Nothobranchius furzeri: one gene and its partners. The protein of the gene in region 1 purifies or fractionates together with the protein of each later gene. This does not show direct contact. Links are inferred from orthologs where the notes say so. Each region holds a gene or a part of one and is shown in the gene's direction. Other genes may lie near its edges.

What was found.
Region 2: the proteins of polr3b (region 1) and uxt purify together in Homo sapiens (affinity purification with mass spectrometry; 3 studies listed by BioGRID and IntAct, counting the BioPlex papers as one, with this or other methods). This does not show direct contact. The link is inferred for Nothobranchius furzeri from reciprocal best matches to the Homo sapiens genes POLR3B and UXT.
Region 3: the proteins of polr3b (region 1) and polr3c fractionate together in Homo sapiens (co-fractionation; 4 studies listed by BioGRID and IntAct, with this or other methods). This does not show direct contact. The link is inferred for Nothobranchius furzeri from reciprocal best matches to the Homo sapiens genes POLR3B and POLR3C.
Region 4: the proteins of polr3b (region 1) and polr3h purify together in Homo sapiens (affinity purification with mass spectrometry; 8 studies listed by BioGRID and IntAct, with this or other methods). This does not show direct contact. The link is inferred for Nothobranchius furzeri from reciprocal best matches to the Homo sapiens genes POLR3B and POLR3H.
Region 5: the proteins of polr3b (region 1) and polr3d purify together in Homo sapiens (affinity purification with mass spectrometry; 8 studies listed by BioGRID and IntAct, counting the BioPlex papers as one, with this or other methods). This does not show direct contact. The link is inferred for Nothobranchius furzeri from reciprocal best matches to the Homo sapiens genes POLR3B and POLR3D.
Region 6: the proteins of polr3b (region 1) and polr1c purify together in Homo sapiens (affinity purification with mass spectrometry; 7 studies listed by BioGRID and IntAct, counting the BioPlex papers as one, with this or other methods). This does not show direct contact. The link is inferred for Nothobranchius furzeri from reciprocal best matches to the Homo sapiens genes POLR3B and POLR1C.
Region 7: the proteins of polr3b (region 1) and polr2f purify together in Homo sapiens (affinity purification with mass spectrometry; 5 studies listed by BioGRID and IntAct, with this or other methods). This does not show direct contact. The link is inferred for Nothobranchius furzeri from reciprocal best matches to the Homo sapiens genes POLR3B and POLR2F.

The regions. Positions count from the first base shown.
Region 1 is NC_091744.1:73,552,087-73,555,782, reverse strand, and holds part of polr3b (DNA-directed RNA polymerase III subunit RPC2), read left to right. Parts: intron 1-1; coding exon 2-164; intron 165-1,277; coding exon 1,278-1,431; intron 1,432-1,518; coding exon 1,519-1,593; intron 1,594-1,811; coding exon 1,812-1,910; intron 1,911-2,003; coding exon 2,004-2,131; intron 2,132-3,223; coding exon 3,224-3,433; intron 3,434-3,497; coding exon 3,498-3,656; intron 3,657-3,696. UniProt on the Homo sapiens protein: Catalytic core component of RNA polymerase III (Pol III), a DNA-dependent RNA polymerase which synthesizes small non-coding RNAs using the four ribonucleoside triphosphates as substrates.
Region 2 is NC_091755.1:47,134,823-47,139,043, forward strand, and holds uxt (protein UXT), read left to right. Parts: upstream 1-1,308; 5' UTR 1,309-1,486; coding exon 1,487-1,572; intron 1,573-1,875; exon of another isoform or gene 1,876-1,898; intron 1,899-2,212; coding exon 2,213-2,294; intron 2,295-2,730; coding exon 2,731-2,798; intron 2,799-2,936; coding exon 2,937-3,044; intron 3,045-3,207; coding exon 3,208-3,271; intron 3,272-3,536; coding exon 3,537-3,599; 3' UTR 3,600-3,768; downstream 3,769-4,221. Other genes in the region: cdk20 (cyclin-dependent kinase 20), read right to left, coding at 46-159, 251-325. UniProt on the Homo sapiens protein: Involved in gene transcription regulation. Acts in concert with the corepressor URI1 to regulate androgen receptor AR-mediated transcription. Together with URI1, associates with chromatin to the NKX3-1 promoter region.
Region 3 is NC_091745.1:77,810,949-77,815,284, reverse strand, and holds the start of polr3c (DNA-directed RNA polymerase III subunit RPC3), read left to right. Parts: upstream 1-1,429; 5' UTR 1,430-1,557; intron 1,558-2,946; coding exon 2,947-3,093; intron 3,094-3,267; coding exon 3,268-3,532; intron 3,533-3,642; coding exon 3,643-3,935; intron 3,936-4,032; coding exon 4,033-4,137; intron 4,138-4,336. Other genes in the region: rnf115a (E3 ubiquitin-protein ligase RNF115), read right to left, coding at 626-703. UniProt on the Homo sapiens protein: DNA-dependent RNA polymerase catalyzes the transcription of DNA into RNA using the four ribonucleoside triphosphates as substrates.
Region 4 is NC_091752.1:65,981,173-65,984,868, forward strand, and holds part of polr3h (DNA-directed RNA polymerase III subunit RPC8), read left to right. Parts: intron 1-2,246; coding exon 2,247-2,310; intron 2,311-2,420; coding exon 2,421-2,655; intron 2,656-3,696.
Region 5 is NC_091757.1:39,754,515-39,758,709, forward strand, and holds the start of polr3d (DNA-directed RNA polymerase III subunit RPC4), read left to right. Parts: upstream 1-1,361; 5' UTR 1,362-1,517; intron 1,518-2,491; 5' UTR 2,492-2,497; coding exon 2,498-2,656; intron 2,657-4,156; coding exon 4,157-4,195. UniProt on the Homo sapiens protein: DNA-dependent RNA polymerase catalyzes the transcription of DNA into RNA using the four ribonucleoside triphosphates as substrates.
Region 6 is NC_091752.1:59,331,664-59,335,359, forward strand, and holds part of polr1c (DNA-directed RNA polymerases I and III subunit RPAC1), read left to right. Parts: intron 1-2,035; coding exon 2,036-2,143; intron 2,144-3,696. UniProt on the Homo sapiens protein: DNA-dependent RNA polymerase catalyzes the transcription of DNA into RNA using the four ribonucleoside triphosphates as substrates.
Region 7 is NC_091752.1:66,413,938-66,417,810, reverse strand, and holds polr2f (DNA-directed RNA polymerases I, II, and III subunit RPABC2), read left to right. Parts: upstream 1-1,190; 5' UTR 1,191-1,326; coding exon 1,327-1,346; intron 1,347-1,602; coding exon 1,603-1,672; intron 1,673-1,760; coding exon 1,761-1,891; intron 1,892-2,689; coding exon 2,690-2,761; intron 2,762-2,855; coding exon 2,856-2,946; 3' UTR 2,947-3,215; downstream 3,216-3,873. UniProt on the Homo sapiens protein: DNA-dependent RNA polymerase catalyzes the transcription of DNA into RNA using the four ribonucleoside triphosphates as substrates.

The DNA.
Region 1 (3,696 bases):
GGCCTGCGGTTTGGTAAAGAACTTGGCTCTGATGACTCACATCACCACAGACATGGAGGACGGCCCCATTATAAAACTGGCCTTCAACCTTGGGGTGGAAGACGTCAACCTGCTGTGTGGGGAGGAGCTCTCCTATCCAAGCGTCTTCCTGGTTTTCCTCAACGGTACAACTCCCGCCCTCCAATGGAGCTGAATTATTAAGCAGAATTAAGACCTCCTGCTGTTGCTTCAGATCATTTTTTAAAAGAAATGCTAATTCTTCTCGTTTTAAACACGTTTTGCTTCATAAACATGAAGAAGAAAATACTCTGTTTAATTTAGCAGAGGAGCTGATAAGTTTTTAATTTCATAGCAGCAGTAGGTGTTATTCTCTAGTCAAAACTCGGACATTTAATTACAGTATTTGTTTGTCTTTGCACTGATAACTGTCACATTATATTAGTTGCCATGCTCTTTAATTAGTCATTAGCAGCAGGTGCCGGAGCCCTTCAGGGTGCGTTCAGAGGCAACGTGCACACTGAGGTAGACCTCTGTTCTCCACCCGATATGAACAAGCCTCCTGCAGGAGGTTTAAACTCCACTCTCGCAGCAGGGCTCAGGGTGCAAAACCACGGCTCACGCTTCAAGTTTGGAGTCAGAATTTTGTGCTTTTTTTGAGTGAAAGGCTTTAAATTTTCTGAATCTTTACGCACATTATTACTATACGTGAAAGGAGACAGAAATGCTTACTCAGAAATGTCGTTTGCCGAAACGTTAAAGACACTGTTAAAGCTCTGAGCCGCCTGTGCTCTGTTTGAACTACCGGAAGAGAGCAGCAGCCTTGAGTTCAAGCACATCTGTGATCAAACAGTTGAATCGAGCTCTACTGCACACATTACTGTTTGTTGTAAAACATCTGTATTACTGATGGAAACTCCTGAATCCAGTGTCTCACTGGGCGGAGACTGTTGCTGACTAGTTTGCAAGAATTCATGCAGGATTTGTGCTGGAATTGGGTTTTGCAAGAAGTTTCAAATATGGCCGCCAGGTCATGAGAGGTGTGTAAGCAACAGTTAAGCCAAATTTTCTTTTTGAAATTTAGTCGCGAAGTGTTTCAATCTCTGTGCAGTTTGCCGTCGTTTTACGTGCAGCTCGATGCTCCTGCTCCTCCTGAAGTCATCTCGCTCGAATCGAGAAGCCAAATGTCCCTGTCGTCCTGACCGTGAGGTCTCCAGGCTTTCTGAAGACCACGGCTTTTCTTTTATACTTTGACCGCTCTCTCATGTTTGTGTCCACAGGAAACATTCTGGGTGTGATCAGAGACCATTACAAGCTGGTCAACACTTTCAGACTCATGCGCCGGGCGGGTTTCATCAACGAGTTTGTGTCCATCTCCACCAACCTGACCGACCGCTGCGTCTACATCTCATCTGACGGAGGTAGACTCTGCAGGTGGGCAAGGCTGGAAGAAACAAATATCTATAAATCTTGTTTTATTTTGCGTTAAAGGCTTCAAATGACTTTTCGTTTCTCCTGCAGGCCGTACATCATCGTGAAGAAGGGCCAGACGATGGTGAATAATAAACACATTGAAGATCTGTCTCAAGGCTACAGGTGAGAGTTGAGGTAGCTTCTTGGTAAACGTCAGCATTTAATTTAGTTAGGCAACACCGGGCCTAATTAAAAAACAGATCTATTATAAGACCAGACATAACCCCTTCTAATCTCTCTAGATGCATAAATTAGATTTTAGTCCATTTTTATCCTTAAACAGCCTGTTTTGATCATTTCTTTGATCATTGTAATGATTTTTTTCTTTAACTTGTCTCCAGAACCTTTGAGGACTTCCTTCATGAAGGCCTGGTGGAGTACCTGGATGTGAACGAGGAGAACGACTGCCAAATTGCTCTGTATGAACATATGATCAACAAGTGAGTAGAAACGTGAAAGCGGACATTTTGAAGCGCGTCCCTCCTTGTTTGTCTCAATCCTGGCATGCTGCTTTTTAAACGCCCTTTTTGTAGAGACACGACCCACTTGGAGATCGAGCCCTTCACGCTGCTCGGAGTGTGTGCGGGCCTCATTCCCTACCCCCACCACAACCAGTCCCCCAGGAACACGTACCAGTGCGCTATGGGCAAGCAGGCCATGGGTAAGCCTGATCTGAGCAGGTAGTTTCACATCGTACACACAGCTGAGCCGCTCCCTTTGTACGCCCAAACACACACACACACACTTGCAGTATTCTAATCTTACATGAACACCGTTTTCAAGCCTCCTAAATCTGCAGAGTTTAAACTTTTTATTTGCATGAGTTAAAAAGGACATTAGAATAACAAACAGGGTGGATACAAGCAGCCCTGCTGGTTCTTCATGAACAAGCTCTGCGGCTGCACCACTTCTTGTCAGAATACATTTGGATGTGTGATTGAGTGTGTGTGTGTGTGTGTGTGTGTGTGTGTGTGTGTGTGTGTGTGTGTGTGTGTGTGTGTGTGTGTGTGTGTGTGTGTGTGTGTGTGTGTGTGTGTGTGTGTGTGTGTGTGTGTGTGCATGGACATCAAACATGGGGCGCTTGCGTAGGTTTTCCTTTGTGCCGTGTGTGCGGAGGCCCTTTCCCTGCCAGTCACCCAGAGTGTCATTAGCAATTCATTGTGTCTGCTCTGGCTGTGCTCGGGGGGTCAGTGTGCTCAGCTGCAGAAAGCCCACAGAGTGTGCACCCCAAGCTCCCTGGTAACCAAAACTTCCCCAAACAGCCCGGCTAGCATTCGTAAGAGCTACACGCGCACGCACACACACACACACACACACACACACACACACACACACACACACACACACACACACACACACACACACAGATTGGCTGCTGCTTCACCTCCATCCATCCGCTCCTGCCCTCCCCCCACCTTTACAAAAACACTGACTGGAACTATATTTGGACTAATATCCTCTGTCCTGTCTGTTTTGTGTGGGCAGCTCTTTACATGTGCAAATCTGGTTGTGTGGCCTGAGCCTATTATCAGCCACTGAGCTTGTAGCCTGATTGTGAGGTAATAGCATCTGACAAATGTCAGGGCTTCCAGGGAGGCCAGGCTTTATGTCATAACTCTCCTGGGTCTTCCCCAGAGCCCCTTTGAAATTAGATTAAATGGCCAAACTGGAAATTACTTATTGATAATGTTTCAGGCTGTTTTAATGATTTATTCCTCATCCACTTTTTGTTTTTTTGTTTGTTTGTTTTTAGGAACTATCGGCTACAACCAGAGGAACCGCATCGACACTCTGATGTACCTGCTGGTTTATCCTCAGAGGCCCATGGTTAAAACAAAAACCATCGAGCTGATTGACTTTGAGAAACTGCCTGCAGGTCAGAACGCCACCGTGGCCGTCATGAGCTACAGCGGCTACGACATTGAGGACGCTCTGGTCCTCAACAAGGCCTCGCTGGACAGAGGTGAGAGCCTTTCTGCGTTATTTAACCCCAACCACAGCAGAAGGCTCAACTTGCCTCTTTTCAGGGTTTGGTCGGTGCCTTGTCTACAAAAACGCTAAGTGCACCCTGCGTCGCTACACCAACCAGACCTTTGATAAAGTGATGGGACCCATGCTGGACGCTGCCACGCGTAAGCCCGTATGGAGACACAACATCCTGGATGCTGACGGTATCTGCTCCCCTGGTGAGTAACAGCCACAACGGATGTTTAGGTGACAGCACCA
Region 2 (4,221 bases), on another chromosome or scaffold:
TCGCTGTCCTCTGAACTGGGCAGAAGCAGCTGGAGGGACACTCACATACTGGTTGTCCTCAATCTCCTGCAGGGCCTTGATCTCCCTCAGAGCCTGGTTCGGGATGCCGTCTTCCAGCCTCCTCAGAGCCACTTTCTTCAGAGCCACCGTCTCTCCTGTCTGAGAGAAAAGGCACAAGACGAACATTCTGAGGAGGAACTGCTCTGCACCTGGAACCAGACCCAGAGGCTGGATCTTTTGCTATCGGTACCTCAATGTGTTTGGCCTTGAACACAATGCCGTGAGCTCCTTCTCCGATCCGACCCTGGATGCTGTACTGCTCCATGTCTGGGACAAGAACCTGATCCGGTCTGCTGATTTCTGCAGGAAGACCAATTTTTCATCTGATTCCACATTAAAACTTCAAGCTGTAACATTAAACTAAATAAGATATAGGTGACCTCTTTTTGAGAAAGAAAACACCTCCCAGAGCTTCTTTTACCTCCTCCAGCTGACCGACAGGAGCCAGAATTCAGACCGGAAACAAAGCTCCGTGTACAAAAGACGCCGTTTACGATTTTGCGCGTTTCAGTTCAATAAAACACCAACGTTTCTGAAATATTACGGAACGATAACTGAAATAAAGGTCGTAAGTTTTATTCGGGTTCTGAGATTATACATAAATCAGCTCGATTTCAATTGGATCCGAATTTTACAGAGGATGCTAACTCGTGTTGCCATGGTAACGTCACCACTAAGCTAAGTTAGCTCCTATGGCTTAATGAAACCGTCGAAATAATTTCAATTCGAGCAGAAATGTTTCCTGATAGTCGTTCAAGCCTGAAAGCGCGGCGAGGAGATCCGGTTTTCGGGCCTGAAACGTTTGAAAACGTTTTGTTTCAGACAAGAGCTGCGTTAGCTACGGTCACGTGACAACGGAAGTCACGACACAGATCCAAATCAGCTAGAAAAGACTCACATGTCAGTCAGAAGTGAAAATTAAATAAATAAATTATATATATATATATATATATATATATATAAATATATATGTATGGGGTTATGACATGAATGTGTATATAGGTTTTATGGGTTTTACAAATGTGTAATTTGGATGTGTTTTTAGAATTTAGAGATTTTAGTGCCGGCTGCTTCACAATGCTGTCTCGAATTGCCCCTCGGGGACTAATAAAGTTGTCTTGAGTCTTGATATATATATATATATATATATATATATATATATATATATATATATATAATCAGTCTGGAGCGTCTTCGTCTAATGCATCTATCTGTTTTATGTCTACATGCTTTATTTTGAAAATTTGGGGGCACTCAATGATTTAGTTCCGGTGTAAAGAATTATTTACATGCTAGCTTGGCATGCTAGCTGTGCTAACGGCACGTTTTTGTGTCCGAAACGGTTAATTTACATTGAGCAGAAATTCATCTGAACTGAATTAATCCGCATGAAGTTATTATTGTTGTTATTAATCTGAAAAGCTGCATGGAGGAACCTGTCGCTGAAAACGTGGACCGGAAGGTTCTGCAGTACGAAACGTTCATCAACGAGGTTCTGAAGAGAGATTTACGGTACGATTTAACTCGTATAGTTGATTTAGTTTCTCAGCTCTGCTCCTCTGTTTGGTTTTGAATTCTGAGTAGTTTCACAGATCCTGGTTTAGTTAGGGCAGGGTTGGTAGCTCTAGCTTGAAGCAGGTAAATAAAAGTTGGTGCTGGGTTCTGATGAATCTAAGCAGTTTCCGGTTAAGTTTTGATGCGATGTTTATGTCTCTACAGACACGATCATTATAGTACAGGTTAAGTTCTTTAAACGTAAATCATAAAGTTGTATTAAACACATTTGTGACAATCACTATGACCAGTGACTGGTACCTGGTTACCATGGCAGCCCCCCAGAGGGCGGGGTCTATCCGGCTAGAGAAGTTGACGCTTCATCTGAGCGACCAGAACAAAAGTCAAACTGCGGTGGTGAGTCCACAGAGTCGGATGATGTTCTGGTCTGTGGAATCAGAACCAACCAAAAAGATCCAGTGAAGGAGAACCAGAGAGTGGGTCCTGGAGAACCACGGATCCCTGGTGTGGTTCTTATCCAATAGAACAGTCAGAAAATGATTGCAAACTCATTTCAAATACTCTATTTTGACACCTCACACACACACACACACACACACACACACACACACACTGATGAAGGTGTTCTGTTTGACAGGAAGGTGTTGGAGCAGAGAGACCAGGTTTATGAGAAGATCTCCCAGTACCTGCAGCTGAAGAACACGATCCAGAGTCTGCAGGTAGTGTGTGTGTGTGTGTGTGTGTGTGTGTGTGCGTGCGTGCGTGTGTGTGTGTGTGTGTATGTGTGTGTGTGTGTGTGAGAGAGAGAGAGAGAGAGAGATTTTAAGGAGGGAGGCATCACTCTGGGAGGATCATAGGGCCTCCTCTAGGATTTTTTTCAGTTGTTTGAAATATTTTCAGCTAACATCCGCCATGTTTTAATCTCTGGAAACCTTTTAACTGCTGATGAAAATCCAGCGGAGCTGTGTGTTCTGGATCAGGAGTTCTGTTCAGGCCCGATCCAACAACAGACCAGTAACCTGAGCTCTTTAGGCCTCGTGCTGTCAATCAGAAACGCCTGTTTGTTTGTGATAGAATTTTGTGTGTGTGTATATATTTATATATGTTTATATCATGATGATGACGTTGCGGTTATGTCACTCCGTGTTCTTGCAGGAGGCGGAGTCCCAGCAGCTGAAGACAGACGTCGATCTGGGCTGCAGCTTCTATGTTCAGGCTCAAGTGTGAGTGTCTGTCTCTCTAGAGTGTCCAGCTCCTCCCTCCACAGACATTTAACCTCTTTTAGATGTTTGGTTCTGGTTCTGAGCAGTTTGGTTGTGTTTGGTCCCGGTTCTGACCCGTTGTTCCCCTCCTTTGGACAGAGACGACTCGTCCAGGATCTTCGTGGCGGTCGGTTTCGGGTTCTTCGTGGAAATGACCCACGATGAAGCTCTGCAGTTCATCACCAAGAAGACGAGTCAGCTGACAGTGTGAGCTCTGTGTTGCCGTGACAACACAAACTTTTTGTCACACGTCTCATTTTTGTCGAGCTGAGATCTAGTTCTAAATAAAGTTGAGGGAGTTTGAACGAGTGCTGTGTTAGCTCAATGTTCGGAACCAAAGATGCTAACCATGCTAACGCTTGTTTTGCAGCTTCACAGAGCAACTCACTAAAGACGCCGCCAAAATAAAAGCCAACATCCGCATGGTCCTTGAGGTCAGTTATTATGTCTATGATCTGAAGCTCTTTAATATTTGATTTGAGTTTTTCTGCTGAGTGTTTGATCTTCTATAAGTCAAAGCGAGTCAGAGACTCGGTAAGATCTGAAGTAGAGCCGGTCCGGTAGCGTCGAGGTGAGTTGGTGCTGATGGAGAGGGACGTTCTCCTCTAAAATCAGATGTGTTCATCGTGGAACCACGGAGAACCCTGATCCTCCAGATGAGGTGTCTGATTGGCTGCTATCTTCTTCCTCTGCCTTCAGGGTTTGCGGGAGCTGCAGGGACTCACCGACCTTCCCGAGAGCCAAAGAAGAGACGTCTTCTAGACTTTTCCTGGTTCTGGGCAGCAGGTGCTGCTGGGGCTGGACCTCCGGGGGAGGAGGAAACTCCTCTTCCTGGGAGGAGCTTTGTGGACAGCAGGACGAAGGTCTCCTCAGATGTTTGAAGAACATCACAGCAGTCATGAGTCTTTCCTGATTAAAATACTAAACTGAAGTTCATGTATTTTCATTTTTTCATTCATATTTTATTAATAATGAGGTTTTTAGTTTGGATTTGTTTTATTTATGTCAAACTTTAGTTTTTGTGTATATTTTTTATTGGATGTAGTTCTACTTTAGTTCTTTCTGGGATTTATTGTAATAAAATAATATCATATATTTTAGGCTTAAATGGGTAAAAGTTGTTGGTTGTTTATTTGCCAACATTTCATTTCCTGATGAATAAAATCATTCACACATTCTTCTTATAATAAATAATATTTTTAGACCTAAAAAGTGTTATTTGTCTTTTTGAACAAGCTGATTTAGATTTAAAGTGAACTTTTTTTGTTATTTTTAAGATCTTTTCCCGGTGTTATGGTTTATTTGTCTCTCAAAACCAAATATAAACTTTTGAAAGGAATTTGTCGGAATGTTCCTGAGGAACGCTGAGACGTTTAGCGGGTTT
Region 3 (4,336 bases), on another chromosome or scaffold:
AGGTTAGTGTTTACACACTTCTATAAAATTACATTAAATCTTGTTAAAACTAGTATCTTCTACCAAGTATTCATTAGGGCTAGTGTGTAGGTCACAAAGTGCACCTAGTGCTGCTTTGACTTCACAAATGAAACTAAACATTAAGTCCATGAAAAATCCCCGAACTCGTCATTCCAACAGTATATTTGACCAGAAACAAACACTGAAAACAAAACTAGTCCACTGTCTCTCAGCTGAGTTTTAAATATGTCGTCTTGGCTTTAATGGTCCAGACAATCCGTGTTCAGGTCTTGTTCGGTGGAAAATACGCTCACAACACATTCACAGTGGGAAACCTGAAGCTTCGGGCCCTGAGTTTTGACACAATTACGCGTAGACACACGAATAGAACAAAACTTGACAGTGTCAAGTTTATAACCCAGCGTTTACCTCAAGTAAAAACAAATTAGGCACCGTTTAATTCAGAGAGTTAACAGCAACAACCGTTGCTAGCTGTTAACAAGCTAGCGGCGGTTTAGCTGTAGCAGACAGGCGAAACTAACTGCTATTGGTCGAGCAGCGGTGTTGTCAGTCGCGCACGATGTGGAATATATCACACATGACTAACCAAAAACACCGGACTTACCGGGAGTTTAGGATTTACTTCTCCCTTACAACAGTGACAGAAAAACCGATGCGGGGGAACAGGCGCGGCCTCCGCCATCTTCCCCAAGCAGCACAACTAGTGACGTTGGTCCTTTACAACCAAAAGACACTTTATGGCAAGCCGGTTCATCATATAATAAGTGATAATTCTGATATTTATCATATGCATTTTCATATCCTCCAAAATGATTATAAGTTGTTTTAAAACGTTTAATAATAAAAACGTCTTTATGATAGCAGTAAATCATATGAAAATTTAAAATATTTCAGAGTTACCACGGTATTCAAGACCTTGAAATCTGCACATTGTTCTCTAGTGGGAATTCCAGTTTTGAGAAACAAATTATTATTCTAACAAAAGTTGTTCGACAGCAAAGTACGTTTAGATTTTTTAAACCGGAAACTAAATTTCTATGGGAATTTGTTTGTCCTAACATTTGGGAAAGGTATTTGAGATTCTTGAAATGTTGATTTTGAATAGGTGAAATATACCTTTTGAAATACATGGAAGGAACTGCAGATGTTTACTGATGAATACTGACTTCACCCAGTGTGATTGTGTACCTCTTACTTTTTGTCTAACTTATTAACACGTCGAGCGCTTGAAATTTCAGTTGTTTATTCTGATAACTAAAAATGCAATTCATGAACAAATTTTTTTTTATTTAAATTCCAAATGAAAAAAATGGGATGTGGTTAATTATATGCTACAACAACTTGCCTGAACCAAACGATCTCCAGCTCGACAGGGGGCGCTGCACTGCAGCCAAATCCTGGAGGGAAGACCCAGAGAGCGGAAGTGTCTTTTTTACCGGAAGTGTCTGTGTGTTGTGATGGAAGAGACGCATGTGTAAAAAGTCGATGCATGAAGGCAACAGCTACGTTTGCTCCGAAACCCATCTGCAATAAAAGGTTCGTGAAAAAAATAAGTTACGTGTATTTATTTTTCCTAATTCTTTACTTTCAGGTGAGCTAGCCGCTAGTAGCTTGTAAGCTAATCCACTTAATACAACTTTAGCTTCACTGGTGTGGACATTAATCAGAGACGCTTAAAACATAATTAACATTTAATATTAGATGAAGTTTACATGTTGTCTTTTGTTTTATGGTGCTTTAGTGTTTTTTTAACCGAAACATCACAGTTTAAAGATGCTAGTGATTGATTTGTGATGCTTTAAGTGTACTAGTGTTTTAGTGTCCTGTCAAAAAAGTAAATATAATTTATAAAATACAATAAAATGACTTTATTCTTGCAATAGGTTAATTTCTGTTAAGATGTTGATAATAAATCATACTAATTTACCTATTTAAGCCAACCACATACACAATATTCAGTACTTTCCTCACAACTTGGTACAGTCATTTTGTCATTTAATTAGTTTGTTTATTTTGATCAACTGTTGGTTCATATTACACTGATTATTTTGTTTTCAATCTGTTTCATGAAAAGCATCTTTTATAAAATGTTCTGCTAATCTGGTGCTGCTTCCGTGGGTTTTATTATCGTGATATAGGTGATGTCATCTAATTTACTGTTTTGCTTCATCTACAATAAAATACAGGAATTCTTCTACAAAACCTGTAACATAAATAAAACCAGTTTACTTCCATCCATCCATTTTCATCCGCTTATCTGGAGTCGGGTGGCTGGGGCTGTAGCCTAAGTCGAGAGGTCCAAACTTCCCTCTCCCCAGCCACTTGGGCCAGCTCCTCCGGGGGAATCCCAAGGCGTTCCCTGGCCAGGTGAGAGACATAGTCCCTCCACCGTGTCCTGGGTCTACCTTTAGGCCTCCTCCCAGTTGGACGTGCCCGGGAAACCTCACCAGGGAGGCGTCCAGGAGGCATCCTGACCAGATGCCCAAGCCACCTCAACTGGCTCCTCTCGATGTGGAGGAACAGCGGGTCTACTCCGAGCCCCTCCCGGATGACCGAGCTTCTCACCCTATCTCTAAGGGAGAGCCCAGCCACTCTTTGGAGAAAACTCATTTCGGCCGCTTGTATCCGTGATCTCGTTCTTTCGGTCACTACCCAAAGCTCATGACCATAGGTGAGGGTAGGAACGTAGATCGACCGGTAAATCGAGAACTTCGCCTTCCGACTCAGCTCTCTCTTCACCACGACAGACCGGTACAACGCCCGCATCACTGCAGACGCAGCACCAATCTGCCTATCGATCTCACGCTCCAGCTTTCCCTCACTCGTGAACAAGACCCCGAGATACTTAAATTCCTCCACTTGGGGCAGGACCTCATCCCTGACCCGTTTACTTGTGGATCTTATTTATATTGTATGTTTTTGCAGATGACAGCCCAGGAGGTACGACTGTGTGGTCTTCTGATGCGAGAGCATTTCGGGGAGGTGGTGGAGAAAGTGGGAACACACCTGCTCAGAAGTGGTGGCCAACATTTACGAGCCATTGTTCATGAAACTGGAGTCTCAGCGGACCTGGTACAAATGACAAGCTTCTTTCTGCTGGTTAATACTGAGAATATATTTGCTTAGCAGCTAATTGTTGGTGGTGATGTATTTTAGATAAGTAGAGTTGATTTATTGGACAGTTTTACACTATAAATGATTTTTAATCACACAGTACAGATGCTGCTTTTGCCTTTGTTTTTAAAGGTAAAGAAGTCTTTATGCGTGCTTATGCATCACGGAGCGTGTTCGTTCATCTCTGGTCGAAAGGGACCCGGCAGCCCCCCAGAGTATCAGGCAAGCTGCGATTGCATTCTGAGGATTCTGCGATACCCACGTTACATCTACACCTCTAAAACCTTGTACGGTGACACCGGAGAGCTGATCGTTGAGGAGCTGCTTCAGAGGGGTCACATGACGATGAGCGGCACGGTCAAGACAGTCGCTGACCGCCTCAGTCAGAACATGGAGGGTCAGCGTCTGATTTTAAAAAGACAAAAATCTGGATTTGATTTTGAATGTTTTTCAGGTTTCAGTAGGATTTATATTACGTGACATCAAGTGTCTATGTTGTTCTTACAGATGGGCAGAGCGTTGATTACAGCGAAGTGTCGTCTGTCTTTTCTAAACTGGTGGAGACGCATTTCCTGCAGCGCTGCCCTCCGTTGGACGGAGCAGGAATGACAGCCAGCAGCACTCAAGCCGGCCCCAATCCCACTGCAGCCGCCTCCAGCTCCACCCTGCCCAACCCAGAGAGCTTCTCCGAGTGCTATAAGGTGCCTCATGTGACCCTCGTCGGGCGGGGAAAGCGCCAGCTCGCCACCGAGGAGGGAGAAGAGCAAAGGAGCGCAAAAAGAGCCAAAATGGAGCCAGAAGTCGGGAACAACTCTCTTTTTTCACCTATTTATTCATTCCAACATTTCTCTGTTTCTGCTTTTATCATCATCACACACGGTTGGTGTTTTTGTGCAGACTCATGGTGACGAGGGGATCTACTGGCAGGTGAACTTTACGCGGTTTCATCAGCACTTCAGAGACCAGGTGATCATCAGTGCCGTGGCCAGTAAACTGGATCAGGTCAGGCTTCCTCTTCAGGACTAAAAATACGAGTGAATAAAAAAAAAAAAAGAGTTGAACGTGCCTACAAAACGCTTATTCATTCTCCTGGATGACTAAAATGTTTTATGTTGTTTCTGTGTGTTTAGAGAGAACTGTCAGTCATCAAAACTGGATAAAAAAAATCAATAATCAACAGTAAACGGGCTCCAGCCCTAAA
Region 4 (3,696 bases), on another chromosome or scaffold:
GCCAGTGAAGCTGGAGGAGAAGCGGGGTGATGTGGGTGTGTTTGGAGGACTTGGTCAGAAGCCGAGCACAGGCATTCTGAACCACCTGTAGACGGTTCAGGGAGGTTCTGCTCAGACACGTGAAAAGAGAGTTACAGTAGTCTAAGCGTGAGGAGATGAAGGTGTGGAGAACTGTCTCAAGTTCAGAGCGGGACAGAATGGGACTCAGCTTAGCAATGTTCCTGAGATGGACGAAGAAAGAGCGAACAAGAGAACTGACATGAGAATCCAGGGTGAGAGCCGCTGCTCCTTCAGCAGCAACTATTTCTTGCATGTGAGGGGTGGATCCAGTCCTCCAGACAAACTCCTCCCTGCTTCCTTCTTTTTCACCTCACAAGTAACTTTTTAACTAGCAGATCAAATTGATCTATTGACCACAAAAAAAGCGGAGTGAGCGCCGCGCTGCACGGCTGCGCCAGTGACGAGCGCTGCGGCGCGAGCGCGTCCACACATCATGCTCAAATACAGACAGAACTTACCAGAGAGAAAATGAACGGACACAAACGACTGTGTGTTAATTATATATTTTTTGGTGAGGCCCTTTAGAAACTTAGAAAATGTTACTGTGGCCGTGTGCAGAACACACCTGGAGTCCATAAATAATCAGCGGTCTGCCTGCCGCTCTGCATCTCTGCCCCAAAAGAATCCCCGCTACTCTGAGTCCATGTAAATAATATAATATAGGTACAAACTGGATCTCTTTTGTGCTCCTTCTGGGTGTGTGAGTTAAGGGCATCAGGTGAGCCTGACAACCATTAAGGAGAACCAAGTTGCTCTCCTGTAATTTGAAGCCAGTATCCAACTCCGGATCGGGGCTTGGATCGGGAAGTAAAGCCCGAGTCCTGATCAGTCTGAAACCACGTGATCGGGGCCGATTTCCGATCATGTGATCGGATCGGGACATCCCTAGTAGAGACCCACATGGCAGCAAAAAAAAAAAAAAAAAGATGCAAAATGTGAGTTTTGCAAAATATTCCACCTTTAATATTGTGATACTTTAACATAGATGTGTGTGTTTAATATGAACACATTTGCAGGAATATAAAAAAGAAAATTATGGAAGCACTTGAAAAATAGCCATGATGGAATTTCTACACCTAGATGATTTTATCATTTATCATACAAATTAAAAAAATATATATATATATAGTGTATATATATATATATATATATATATATATATATATATATATATATATACATATATATATATATATATATATATACACACATTAAAGGATGTAAGAAAATATCGATATGGCAATATATCGTGATATTGTATTGATATTCAAAAGATGTATATCGAAAATATCGATATGGTAATATTTTGTGATATTTTATCCTGTGATTTTATATTAATATTCAAAATCCATGTATCAAATTTTTGGAAGAATTTACATGCAAATATTTGTGTATTTTCTTTTCTTTTGGTGCAATTTAAACGCAGACCGCTAGTTGGCAGCAGTGTGCAATGTGTTTTGTTTCCACCACTGAAATATAAATCCCTCTGTTATGGTTCAGATACCTCGCATTAAAAATGTTAAGTATCAGTTTGGACTAGGGCTGGGCAATAAATCGAAAATTTATCATTATCAAAATTTCTGACTCTTATCGTGATCATTTTTCCCGTGTCAATAAATTCGATAATAAAGAAATGAAAAGATGTGTAGGTTGGTAACGTTCACATCCCTTTAAGAAGCTGTACCACCTTGAGTCACGTAAAAATGTGACTCAAGTAATACGTGTGACAGCCCCATCTAGTGGACAACTTTTGTTTCTGCGCATACCTGTAGTTATCGCCAATTTATCGTTATCGAGGTGAAATTCTCAATATATTGTGACACTGATTTTAGGTCGCATCGCCCAGCCCTAGTTTGGACTGTTTATTCAATATTCCTACAAAAAATTCTGTCTAAAAAAATTGCTGATATCGTATTGTATGGCAATGTATCGTGATATGTTGTATTGTCTCCCCTATATCGTGATACTTGTCGTATTGCCAAAATTTCACCAATACACATCCCTTATATATATGGAATTTTAGTCATTGCTGCAATTATATGTTATTTTACTGTTATCCTCTGCTTTCCAGGTACGCTGTTTCTTTCATGTCTGATGCAAGAATGACAAAATATCCTTTAACAGTAAACGCTTTAACAGCTGTGTACCAGATTTCAACAGGAGCTTCTCACTCTGCTGCTTCACAGTGACCATGGGCTTCTTTGATGATATTCTCATCCCTCCTGAGTCTCTCCAGCAGCCTGCAAAGTTGTATCCAGAGTTAGAAGCACAGTGGTTTTGTTTTTACTGCATTTGCTGAGTGTGTGACTGGAGTCTTATGGATCTGGGGTTGGTTGAGCCTTCCTTAGCCGTAACTCCAGTGATGAAGCGGAGCAGGTCTGGGTCTGGGAGTACGAGACGGATGAGGGAGGGCACGACCTCTACATGGACCAAGGGGAGGAGATCCGCTTCCGGGTGGCGGATCAAGTCTTCGTGGACACGTCACCAACAGGCCCTGCTGTAGCTGCGTCTGACGCGCCGGCACAAGCGGGGCAGGCAACGGCGCCGCCAGCAGAGGCCAGCGAGGGGAAGAAGGAGGCACCGTACACTCTGATTGTAAGAATCATACAGACAAATTAAAAATCAGCTCTCGTAAAGATGATTAAACTGTGGGAGCAGTCACCATTTCAGGGTATTTGTAAACTCTTTCTGGTGCTCAGTTCATGTTTTCAGTATTTTGACTGAATTAGATTTTGATATTTTATTTGTCTTTTAAGTAAATGGGAGCTTTAACTCATTCGCTGCCAGCGTTTCTCACCGTTTTTACAGTTTTTTTTAAGCCACAGAACGTTGCGCGCTAGGATGACGTTGACGCCAAAACAACCAAAACAAAGCGGAGACTCACCTCTTACATCAGGAAGAATCCGCGCGTTTCGAGCGTTATCCGTTCTTTCATTATCTGTTGTTGAATTGTGATCGGCAGAAGCTTTTCCGGTTCGCGCCTCACTTTTTTTTTTACAGCAGCGGCCCAAAACGATCTAACACATGGATGTTCTGCTTCCTGATCACGTGACGTGTGACGTATACGGATGAAGATCCGCTTTAGAGCTGAGGTGTTTGTTCTCACGGTGTGGGGGCTCGTCCGATGCCCACACAGTAAAAACATGCAAATGACGAATTTACTCGTCATTGGCAGTGAATAGGTTAAACATCTGGTTATGAGAAACCCTAGCCTGGGAAGCCATCCTCTATAGGTGAATATATAGTCTGGACACGGCCCGTTGACGGCTCTCAGTAGTGGGCCTGGGTCTACGGTTTTCTTCCAGACTGTCTCTGCATGCTATTGGATATCAAACAACATGACGCACTCGCCGCTACCGATGTAAGTCAACGGGGCTTTCTGCCATACTCGTCCAGGGTATCCGCAGGTCTTAAATTAGCTTTTCCAAATTTAAGGCCTTAAAAATTACAAATAATACTTAAATACATTTTCCAGAGGTCTTAAATTTTCAAAGACCCAATAAACAAGATTCTTTTATTTCTATAAAATTTTCATGAATTTCTAGTTAGCGTTCAGCATTTTTTGTGTACGATGTTGGTGTAAGCGGAACCGTACACATTCAGTTGGATGTGAAAGGGGGCTATTTTTAGATGAGC
Region 5 (4,195 bases), on another chromosome or scaffold:
GCCTGAACATCTGCCAAGGGGTAGATGCCATGGTGCCTGGTCTCCACACTTCCCCCTGTGGTCAGGCCCTGAAGAGCAGCAACAGCAACAAAAGGTCCTGCACCATTTTGGTGAGGCCGCGCTGCTGCTGAAGGATTATTTCCTGTTTCACCAGGACTTCATGCAGGAGAGCTGAAAAGCATTTCAGACACAAAGTGCTTTGATTAGCTTATCACAAATAAAGTACTTTGATTAATCAATGAAAAGCGTTCTTCTTCTCTTCTTCTGTCTCTTCTCCTGGAATGTAAACATACTGAACCAAGCGTCCGACCTTGGTGATGTTACTGTGTGAAGGGGCAGCTGTTAAGGCAGACCATTATAAGATTCATAACGGTACAACCTATATAAGTCTCTAGACACCCATTTTTCTCAACAAAAAAACTGCTAAAAATATATTCAGCCTTGATTGTACACAGCAAGATTTATTATTTACAGTGATATAATTAATAATGCTCGATAACGATCAATACTAGATGTCATTTTATTGTGTTCAATGTTATATTACGTTTATTTATTACAATTATTAATAGCTTTTGTTTCATTTTTGTTCTCTGATGATTTATTTGGAAATGACTGATTTTTGGTTTGTGTTCTCAAAGCTACATAAACAAATTATATCTTGTAAAACCTCCCATAATTCAGTCAGATTCAAAACATTTCATTTCAAGGTATTTAGTAGATGAAGAGTTTTTTTTTCTTGTATGGTGCCTTCAAAAAGGTGCTTCACATTAATAATCTCACAGTAATTTATGTTACATTAACAGACTAAATAACAATGCTTCAACCTGCCCAGCATCAACAACAATCTATACATTTTTACTGATTGATATATATAATTATCATTATGTGGAAAAACAATGTGTTTATCACCAAAAATAGCCTTTTTATATTCCTTCGTAATAGTACTGATAGAGAAGAGAGCCTTAAGTGATTCCCACAGACCCCCTTAAATGAGGCTGCTAACTAACATGCTACATTCACCTTCGTGAGGTTCATTGGGTTGTGAGGAGTCACCTGCTGACATATCACCAGCTGCTGATTCTATAAGGACAAGGACAGCAACCCATTTACCATAATTAGATGAAACATAGTTCCTCTCATTGTGGATATCAAAGCTAGCTAACAGGTTGAATTTAACCAATCACTAACTAAACCCACCTTCCTTTGAGAATAACTGTGCGACATACTGACGCTCTCTCTTCTGCCTGTCCTTTCTCCTTTCATTCTTTCCTTTACTGTGACCCAGACGCGTTGCCCCGCCCGCGTTGCAGCCTGCGGCCATGCGCCTCATTCTGCGCATGCGCGTTCCGAACGGAACAACAACGCAGAGGTGTCATGGCGTCGTGCAGCACAGTGGCTCAGAAACAGAAACACAACTAGCTGGCTCAGAAACAGAAACACAACTAGCTAAGGTTCATTTATTATGACTCGCAGACCGTGAATAAACATAGAATAAAGACCCCGGAAGAAGAAATCAGGTAAGGATCTGGAAAAAGCTTAAATATCACTTTTTCTTCTCTAATGATGAAGGTTAGCGAACTAGTGCTGTATCATTATGTCCACGTGCTGGCGGTTTGTTCATTTCTAGCTGGAATTAAGTATTTTTTTCGTAGTGGGACGGTAGATTAAGAGAAACGAAAACCAGTTTAACCGTAGGAAAGTTTTCAGTGGTAACCAGTAGTCTGACTGCAAGTGAAGAAAGTTAAGTCATTTGGAGACCCAGCTGAAATGACTTCACTGCACTAGTTAACTCCTTCATTAGTAGTGTCCAAATATTTAGCTAAACAGGCCTAAAACGACAAGTTGAAAGTACTTGTGTGCCACTTTTATAAATGCAAACAATTTTTGTTCCCAGCTAAACAATAAAGTTAAATCAATCCTTCACTATTCGTTAGCATGTCTTCATATCACATCAGCTTCCAATGATGGGGTGCTGAAAGACAAAAGCCACAGGCCATGGCTAAAAAAACATCTATATAAGCAACGTGATTAAAACAGCGTCAATAAGATCAACAGTAAAACCAACAGAGGAATGTAAACAGATGCATTTAATTAGCATAATCCCCATTGTAATCCAGAAAAGAGAGAACTGGTTTTCAGTCTGAACCCAATGTTTAATATTATAATATAAAGTACACAATATTTTAGGGCTGCACATAGTAATTAGATATTTTTACGATAAGGATGTGTAGATCTCAGATGCAAAGCATCAACAGTCCAGTGTGGATGTAGATGTGCATCCAGATGTAATACCTGCATTCATATGTTGCTTTTAAATGCTACAAAATCCATCAGAATGTCGTTAGAAATAGGTGCCAATGCAGACAAAAATATCTGTGATTTTTAGATATTTTCTACAAAAAGAGTCTTTGTTGTGTCCACGATGACTACAGATACCAGTAGAAATAATTCCAAGTGAAAAAGGTTGATTTGTATCTCCTACTTTATTTAGTTCAAAATGGCTGACTCAAGTGACACCAGTAATCAGCGAATGGCGACTCCTGGAGGCAGCAGTAACGTTGGACTGCTGATGGGCCGCCGACCACCATCGGGAATCTCTCCAGGTCGCCTCCCTTCCATGAGGTCAAGAGACCTCACACTGGGGGGAGTAAAAAAGGTACTGCACCAGGTCTTTTATTAAAGTATAGTTATTTGTAGTGGTTTATAGTAGGAAGTCGAAAGTCAGGGGGAAACAATACACTGGTGCACCATTACCAGGAACTGAAGTTACCCACATCACAGCTGCGCTTCAGACAGCAGGTTTTGGAGTCTTAGTTCCTGATACTTGGACATTTATCCTCAGATTGGATAACAGTGATTCCTGGGGTTGTGCTCCTGCAGTCATTGGTGTATAAAATGAGCAGAAGTGGAGAGATGACTGAACCTTGTGGGGAACCAGTGGAGAGTGACCTGACAGTACTGTGATGGCCGTTAACCCTGACCCTCTGCTCCCTCCTCGTGAGAAAGGAGAGGACCCAGAGGATGAGATGGGAGTTAACATTCAGGTTCAGCAGTTTACATCCCATAAGATGTGGCTGGACTGTGTTGAATGCACTAGAGAAATCCACAAAGACCAGGTTGATATGTGACTTTGGCTGTTCCAGGTGGGTGAGGGTCTCATGCAGCATAGTTAGTAGAGCATCATCCACCCCTCTGTGTGGTTGGTATGCAAACTGCATTGGGTCCAAACATGCACCCACATCAACCAGCAGCTGGGCCATTACGAGCCTCTCAAAGGTCTTCACAATCAGTGATGTCAGAGCTACAGGTCCAAAGTCGCTGTTGATGCCTGGGTTGTTCTGCTTTGCCACGGGGCAGATGATAGAGGACTTCCAGATGGAGGGGATGGAGTGCTCAGCTAGCGAGCAGTTAAACAGGAAGCAGAGAACTCCCGCCAGCTGACTGCAGATGACCAGAGATCCTGCCTGGTCCTGAGGCCTTGTTGGGGTTGATCCTCTTTAGCGTGCTCTCCATGTCCACAGGCAGGAGCTGCAGGTTCTCAACGGCTTGGGACATAGGGGCTAGCTCCATGAATGTGAAGCGACAGTGTGACGTAGATCTGTCAGGCTTTTCACACCCTAGAGTTTTACTGTCTATTTTCTATCGTGTAGAAGACTTTTTCATGATCAGCCTGCATGAAAAATTCAGTGACCCATAATAATCAGAAATAATGATGCTCTTTAAAATTCTTTATTTCTAATATAATGTGAACAAAGAAAGCTTACCTGATACTCGTAGGACGATTAATACGCTGTGGATCAGTTATGATCCCAACACTGGCTTAGTGTTTACTCAAGCTGTTTACCAAAAGGGAGCTGCTTCCATCTTTGACATTTGCTCACACACCGGGTTGTTTACTCTATGGGTTTGAACTGTTTATTAAAAACAAACAACTTGCATCAAGGGGAAAATGTTCATTCAATTTAGTATTTATGTCTTTTATTTATTTATTTATATCACTGAGATTAATCTATACGAAAATGACAAGACAAAAAACCAATCATTTGTTAAAAACTCGTGGCTTCTAGGGACAAGTGATGACTAAAGATGCAACAGAAGCTGATTTTATTGTACACTGTCTAAAACCTAACACGTTTTTGTTTTCTTCCACTTTTAGAAAACGTTCACACCCAATATTATCGGCAGAAAGGTTAAA
Region 6 (3,696 bases), on another chromosome or scaffold:
GTGTGTGTGTGTGTGTGTGGGGGGGGGGGGGGCGTCGACATGGTCGGCACATAGAAGGGGGTGCGCGGCTAAATAAGTTTGGGAACCACTGTCCTACAGGATTCTTCATGCCTAAAACTTGCAGCCCGGATTAGTTGCTAAATCAAAGAATGATTTCCTAAATTAAATATGAACTTCTAAAACTTATAAGCTAGATAATCATTAAATAAACGTTTGTTTATTGCTACTTATAACAATTATAATGTAATGAAATGTTTTCATTAATCTGTGCTCAATGATTGAAGTTTGAAATGAACGTTATGTTATGATTACAGTGATTGAAATATGTTTCAGCATGTTTTATATGACAAGGTCATCACCACTTGCACTCACACCAGAACAAAGTAAGGTTAAGTTAAACTCATGAGTCATAAATAGCCCTTTACTCCAGATCAGAGCGTCCGGTATCAAAGAAGACATGTTTCTGAGACTCTTGGTAATATTCCTCAAACTTGTCAACCTCTGGTTGGCTACACAAATCATAACAGGAGAACATTAAAACCAGATTACTCTGGTTATTCCTCAGTTCTAGAGAAAGCTTCAGACCGGCCATCTGAAGCAAGACCCTCTTTAACCCATCAAAGCTTTTGACACGTCGTCAAAACCTTTTTGCACCTGCAAAGCTGATGAAGCAAACAGTTCCTGCAGAATGAGCTGATATTGTTTAGACTCCTTAAAGAGTCCCAGACGCGTGGTTCCATCCATCTGTTGTGACCCGAGACATCTCTGGACTGAAGAGTCGGTGCCACGGTATTCTACAGCCCTTCGGTGCCAGAGGTCATCCGACCTCTCTGACCTTCGGATCCACCAAGAGGGTCTCCAGAATGGGTGAAGTAGACACAGATAGCAACTGATGTGCTTTTGATAATAATCAGCTTCATAGCTTAACGCAAACCAAATTATTTTACATCCAGAAGTCAGCTCTCCTAGACAGAGAAGGTCTGATAACGTCGCATTCACACCCAGGTTTCATCCATCACAGTAAAATGTTAGTTAACTTGTCATGTTTTAATTGTTTGTAAAATAAATTCTTACTTTTATAAACCTGACTCTTTTCTGAATCAAAACGAAGTGTGTACAATCCCTTAATAGATAAAGAATCCTAGAATCTTCTGATGAATACACAAAGACCAAGCAGGATTGATATTCTATATTTAGATAGAGTATTACAGCTTATTGGTCATAAGTAGAGATAAAATAAATATTGAGCTCTTAAAGCACTCAATTTACCAAACCCTACAATGGCGTCGTATAGCTGAGGGTTTCAAAGAGAAATGCATGGTGCCTACAGTGAAACACAGTGGTGGCTGTGTCCTTATGTAGGCTGCATGAGTGCTGCTGGTGTTGGGGAGCTGCATTTCATTGATGCTATCATGAACTCAACAATTTACCACTCAATACCAAATGAGAAGATGCTGCCATCACTCCACGCACGTGGTCATCGTGCACTTTTCCAACACGGCAATGATCCAAAACACACATCTAAAGCTACTGTTGCGTTCCTGAAGAACAGCAGGGTGAAGGTGATTGAATGGCCAAGTATGTCTCCTGATCTGAACCCAATCCAACACCGGTGGGGAATTCTGAAGCAGCAAGTTGGGCATCACTCTCCATCCAGCATCCAGGCTCTAAAAGAGGTTCTTCTTGAAGAATTGAAAGGATAGATGTTGCAATAAGTAGTCAACTTGTTAATTCCATACCTAGAAGGCTTGGTGCTGTCCTTGAAAATCACAGTGGTCATACAAAATACTAGATGTAGTAGGTTTTGTTGTGGGGTGTATTCATTTTTGCTTCAACCAATGTTAGTAAAACTGAAGATTTTGTGATCTCAGTTATATTGTTAACCTTAATTTCATGTTATGGAGTTAAACAAGCCTTGTGAAATTTCTGGAAATTGTTCTTTTGTTCATTGAGCTGCTGACTAAATTTATACATTTTCAAGGTGTATTCATTTATGCTGAGCTCTGTACACGTGTTTCCTCTTTTGCTTTTGCAGAACTTCAGAATTGACATAGTGCATCTGGACGAAAGCAGTATGGAGTTTGACATGGTAGGGATTGATGCGTCCATTGCCAACGCCTTCAGAAGAATCTTACTAGCAGAGGTAACACCCACACATTTCCTGCAGTTTAGCTCAAAAAGCGTTACTTCCAGTCCGGTCCCTCTGTGTTTCTCGGGCTGTGTTAGCTCTTCCCCCCTCCCCCGGTGTTACGTCAGCATTCCAGTCGGTTCCGCTGTTGAAACGCGTTTCCCCACCACTGCACCACGTTTACCAAGCGGTAAAAACACTCGCGCTCATTACAATCTCGCTCCCGCGGGGCGCTCTGGTTTTGGTAGAATAGGAGCCACAGATCTAAGTTAGGGAAATTCCCGGTGGCCCTTTTTGAGTTTGGTGCATTATTATTTTTATATTTTTTTTCATTTATTTTATTATTTTTTTTTCGGGCCGTTGTTACTCTGTAGATCACCTGCTGCTGATGAGAGGATTTCTCCTGTCAGGAACAGGTGAGCTGCTGCTAACCGTAACCCAACAAGCTTCTGTTCCTAGAAACACGTTCTATGCCCAGACTCTAATGACCTGTTTTTTTACAACTTTATAATTAATATTAAGTGAATGCATTAAATCCACAGGTGGAAAATACGATTAAATAAGCCTGAATATTTTCTCCCACAGCTCAGCTCTATTAGAAATAAGCAGATGTCTGCTTCAGCTGGACAATATCAAGTATAAAAACGTTCACAGATAACTGATCTATAATGACGAAACAATGTTAATCATTTTAAATTTTAATATTGATTTCATTTCATTTCTAAGGTTTGGATGTTTGTGGACATCACTGAATTTTCTGATTGGTGTAAAGAATACACAATATTTTTAATAACAGGTCTGGATGTGGTTCAGTCTGAGGTCTAAAACTGCCCTGGGCCTAAAGCCCTGCAGATAGATTTAGTTTCTATAAACATAAACGACAAATAAACAACAGCAGCTGGATTCTACTTTGTTCCTTACATTGAGTCACATAGTTTTGCAACTTCTGTATGCTCACGTGTTCAACAGCAGCTCTGCCAGCTGATTGGTTCTTTAGTAACTAGTGACATCAGTGCAGTTCTGGTACTGAGCAGCATGGATGCATAAGAGGATTTAGCTGTAGTCGGTGTTCAAAATGGATTAAAGACAGGATAGGATATAAACGCAATCAAATATAATATTATAATGCTGTAAACATGTGTAGATACTTTATCATACATCCTCACCAGCCTGTAACTCTACCTTTTTTCTCAAAATGCACCAGACTGATGCTTTTAAAAATAAAATGCTCAAAATTTTCTACCAGGGGTGGTGGTGGTGAGGGGGGGGGGGGGGGTGGCATGCCCCCGGACCCCCCTAGAGTAGTTTAATACTCATCATCTTTTTCGTGTCCACACTCTGGTGCTGGTGCACACCTTGTGGTGGAATAAGAACTGGATATATATATATATGGTGTCCCACAAGGTTCTGTGCTGGGGCCTCTGCTCTTCCTCCTCTATCTGCTTCCTCTTCAGCACATCCTGAGCTTCTTCAAAGGAATCTCCTACCATCTTTATGCAGGTGACATCCAACTGTACATCTCCTTTAAGCCCCATGAGATGTCTCAGCTGCAGCTGTTACACACCTGC
Region 7 (3,873 bases), on another chromosome or scaffold:
CCAAATACCGCAGCAATTTCCTAATGTTGTGACTTGGCACACATATGGCAATAAAACCTTCTGATTCTGATTCTAAAAAGCTGGTCCTTTGTATGTATGTATTTATTTATTTATTTATTTATTTATTTATTTATTTCACTTTGGTGGAAACCGGCCCTGTTAAATGAGGGAAATTGCAGTGTACCACAGTGACCATCAGGTGGCAGCCTTGTGGTGTGTCACCTTTTAAAATAGGCGCGTCATGAATGTTTGGGTGACGTTCTGACAGACACGTTAGCTCTACGTGAGATGATTTATGTTGTTTGTGCAGATAATAAGCTTAAGACCACGTTCGTTAGCCATGACATACAACCAAATAGAGGGCCAAAAGTACATAAAAAATTTATATCATTAATTGAATGTGTCATTAGTTGGTTGAAATATGAAATAATTATGTATATATGATTTTAATGAATGTGCTATAAATAAAAACATTTATTTGATGTAAAAATTACAGATAATCATTAAACTGTACAATTTTAGTAATTATTACATGGCGGAGCTGGCAGTGAAGTCGAAATGGTCCTCTCTCCAGGATCTCAGTCAGGTCCACCGGTAGAACCCCATGGAAATCCCTGGCCAGTAGACATGATGATTCCTCCAACATGTCCTGGATCGAGCTGGGGGCCTCCTACAGGCAAGACATGCCTGGAACACTTCTCCTGGGAAGCGACCGGAAGAATTCTCATTAATTCATCGCTGGATTCAGCCCCAGTCTTCTCTAGTCAATAAACAGGCCTTGGATTTGGAGGAGTCGGTGTGCATTTTAGGATTTAAAACAAAATAATTAAAAATTTTCATCCATGGCCCATTTAACAATTTATGTATGTAATGATTTATTCGTGAAATAATTTGGCATTAATTTGATTAATTGCACATATAAATAATATTTTTTTACGTGTCAAATTCCTTAAATCTTTAGCACTTGATTATAACAATTCATTAAAGAAAGTGAGGAGAGAGAGAGAATGGGGATTATTCAGCCTTTATTTAACCTACAGTTGGTAGAATTTACAGATCAAACTAAATGGAAAATGACTTAACTCCAGAAGGTGGCAGTGTTGCAACGGTAAACCTTGTTGATGCTTCTGAAACATCAAAAAAAAAAAAAAAAAAAAAAAAAGACAGACCGGAAAGGGAACTCTAACGAGGTTCTTTTGGCCGACCGGAATGTTTAGTAGCGTACCAGCCAGTGCAACGTTCATGTGGATTCGTGTTGGTTACAAAAGTGTAGCCTAGAAACGTTAAAATATTTTACACGGATATATACTACTCTAAAAATTTATCATGTCGGACAACGAAGACAAGTAAGTAAAGAAATCGTTTAAATAATCTGCGTCATTTTGTATAATCGACGTAAGCTAACGGGGATGCTAACTCGATTAGCATCACACGGTATTGTTTATTATGATCCTTGCCTATTCTGTGTATTGCTGCTTACGTCCTGTTTTATTCAGTCTCCCATCCAAGTTTACGTACTTTTGTACTTTTTCAATAAAGCTTGTTAAAAGTTATGAATCACCTAAAGTTTAAGATATCTGATCAAAGGTTTTAACTCCGTAGCTTCGATGATGGAGATTTTGATTATGCAGAGGAGGACGAAGGACTAGACGACCTGGAGAACGTCGAAGATGTGAGTTATTACAGAGACGGATCACCACTTGAGACTTTTATGAAGCTGTCTCCTGGTCTGAGCTTGTTTGTTTTGCTCTGGTGAATAGGAGGATCAGGAGAATGTGCAGATCCTACCTGCAGGAGAAGGCCAGCAGGCCAACCAGAAGAGGATCACCACACCGTATATGACGAAATACGAGCGGGCCAGAGTGCTAGGGACCAGAGCCTTGCAGATAGCGTGAGTGTGTTTACATGAGATCACGGTTAAAGCTGAGTGTGTTTGATCTTTAACTCGTTAAACACATTTTCACTGAGAGTAGGTTTCCTCCCTAAACTTAGTATTTAGAGATGTTCAGTGAAATTAGCTGGGCTCATTTCGGGATTTATGTCAGTAAAAGTTTCGTTTTTCCAAAAGACATTTAACCCTCCCATTGTCCTGATGGGTGTGACCCCGCGAGGAAAGTTGACCATTGAGCAGGGATGATGGTTTATCCCTTGGGTCCATGTGGCAGGGGTGAGAAGTGAGCACCACCTCACCCCTGCCATGTAGACATCAAGGGATAAACCATCCATCCTGCTCAGTGGTCAACTTTCCTGGCGGGGTCACCCATGAAGACAGTGGGAGGGTTAAGTAAAAACTTAAATATGCTAAATAGCGCATTAACACCTAGTATCAACAGAAGGTTATTTAGGTAAATCAGTAAAATCAACTCCTGATTCTGTTTTTGTCTTGAGTTTGGGCTCTCTGAATTCCCACCAGCAGAAATTCCTGGAAACAGGCGGCTGCTTGTGTAAATGCCTCATCTGCTTTCAAAATAAAAGCATGCCAAAGCCCATTTTAAAGCTAAAAGTAGCGTTTGAATCTACATGCAGAATTATTTGTATTTAATTTCCAATGCTGGCTGGATGGCTGCAACTAATGAGTCACTTTTTTCCCAGCTTTAGAGAAATTAGCCCACTATAAACCCCATATTCCCATGTTGCATCAGTCTGCCTGAATAAAAGTGTTTTTCCTGTGCTGGCTTGATTCCAACAGGATGTGTGCTCCTGTCATGGTGGAGCTGGAGGGAGAGACTGACCCTCTGCAGATCGCTATGAAAGAACTTAAGTAAGTCACTTTGACAAGCACCAACTTTTGGCTTTGGTTTTATTTAACGAACAACTTTTTACTTCACTCATCTTTTCTTCTCTTTCTCCAAAAGGGGCAGAAAGATCCCCATCATCATCCGCAGGTACCTTCCTGATGGGAGTTACGAGGACTGGGGCTGTGATGAGCTCATCATAACTGATTAAACATCCTAACCAGCATCACACATCATCATCTCTGGACTTTTAGAGACTCACTAACTTTTACAGAGTTGTACGTTTGCCTGCTGGGATCCGTTTATGAATATGTTGTTTTAATTTCTTTTCACCATTTTAACATCTACTTGAGGAGGAGAGACGAGAACCTTTAGTTAAATACTTTTTATGCATCCGTGAGGAGTCTAAACGGCTTGTTTTGTTTTTCGGAAGAGACGGTGTAAATGAATGTTTTATTGTTAATAAAGTCATTTCTAGAAGCTGCTGTGATGGATTTATGTACAAATCTCTGGTTTAAAACAGAAATGTGTTGCTGCGGTTGTTTCATTTAGAAAATTAAATGTCACCCCTTCTTTCCACAGGAGCCGTCAGCAGCGCGTCATAGCTGCTGATAGGAACCGCTGTGGTCAACAGAACCTTTTCCACCGGAGCCGTCAGCAGCGCGAGTCGGCCGCTTCTCAGGAGCAGCATGTCGCGGCCTTTACGCGCCGGTTCTATTTTCTACACGCGACGCCTCTGAAACGGGTCAAGTTCGACATTTTTGGGGAAGGAAAGACAGGAAATCGGACGCGGAAATGGAGAGAAGCTCCCGAGATTTTCAGAATAAAGAACGTACTGCCTTCCGGTTGCTTTACTTTTAAAAAAAGTTACTAACTGTGCGGCCCCGTGAGAAGTTATCACCTAGCTAGCGGTCTCCTTTGTTTTTCAGGTCCGTATTGGCGATTCTAAAATGGACAGAACATAAAACACAAACCTTTTGGAGCCATGTTGTAATTTTCTCCTGCTTGTTGTGTTTACTGACGAAGTCACTCGTGTGACTTCGTGCTCGGTCGGTGACAGCTGCTCCCCTGCTGCTTCGCATCTTGTGGGAAGGGCCAAACAGCAGCTTACGCGAGCAAGACGTGCTGCTGATGGCTC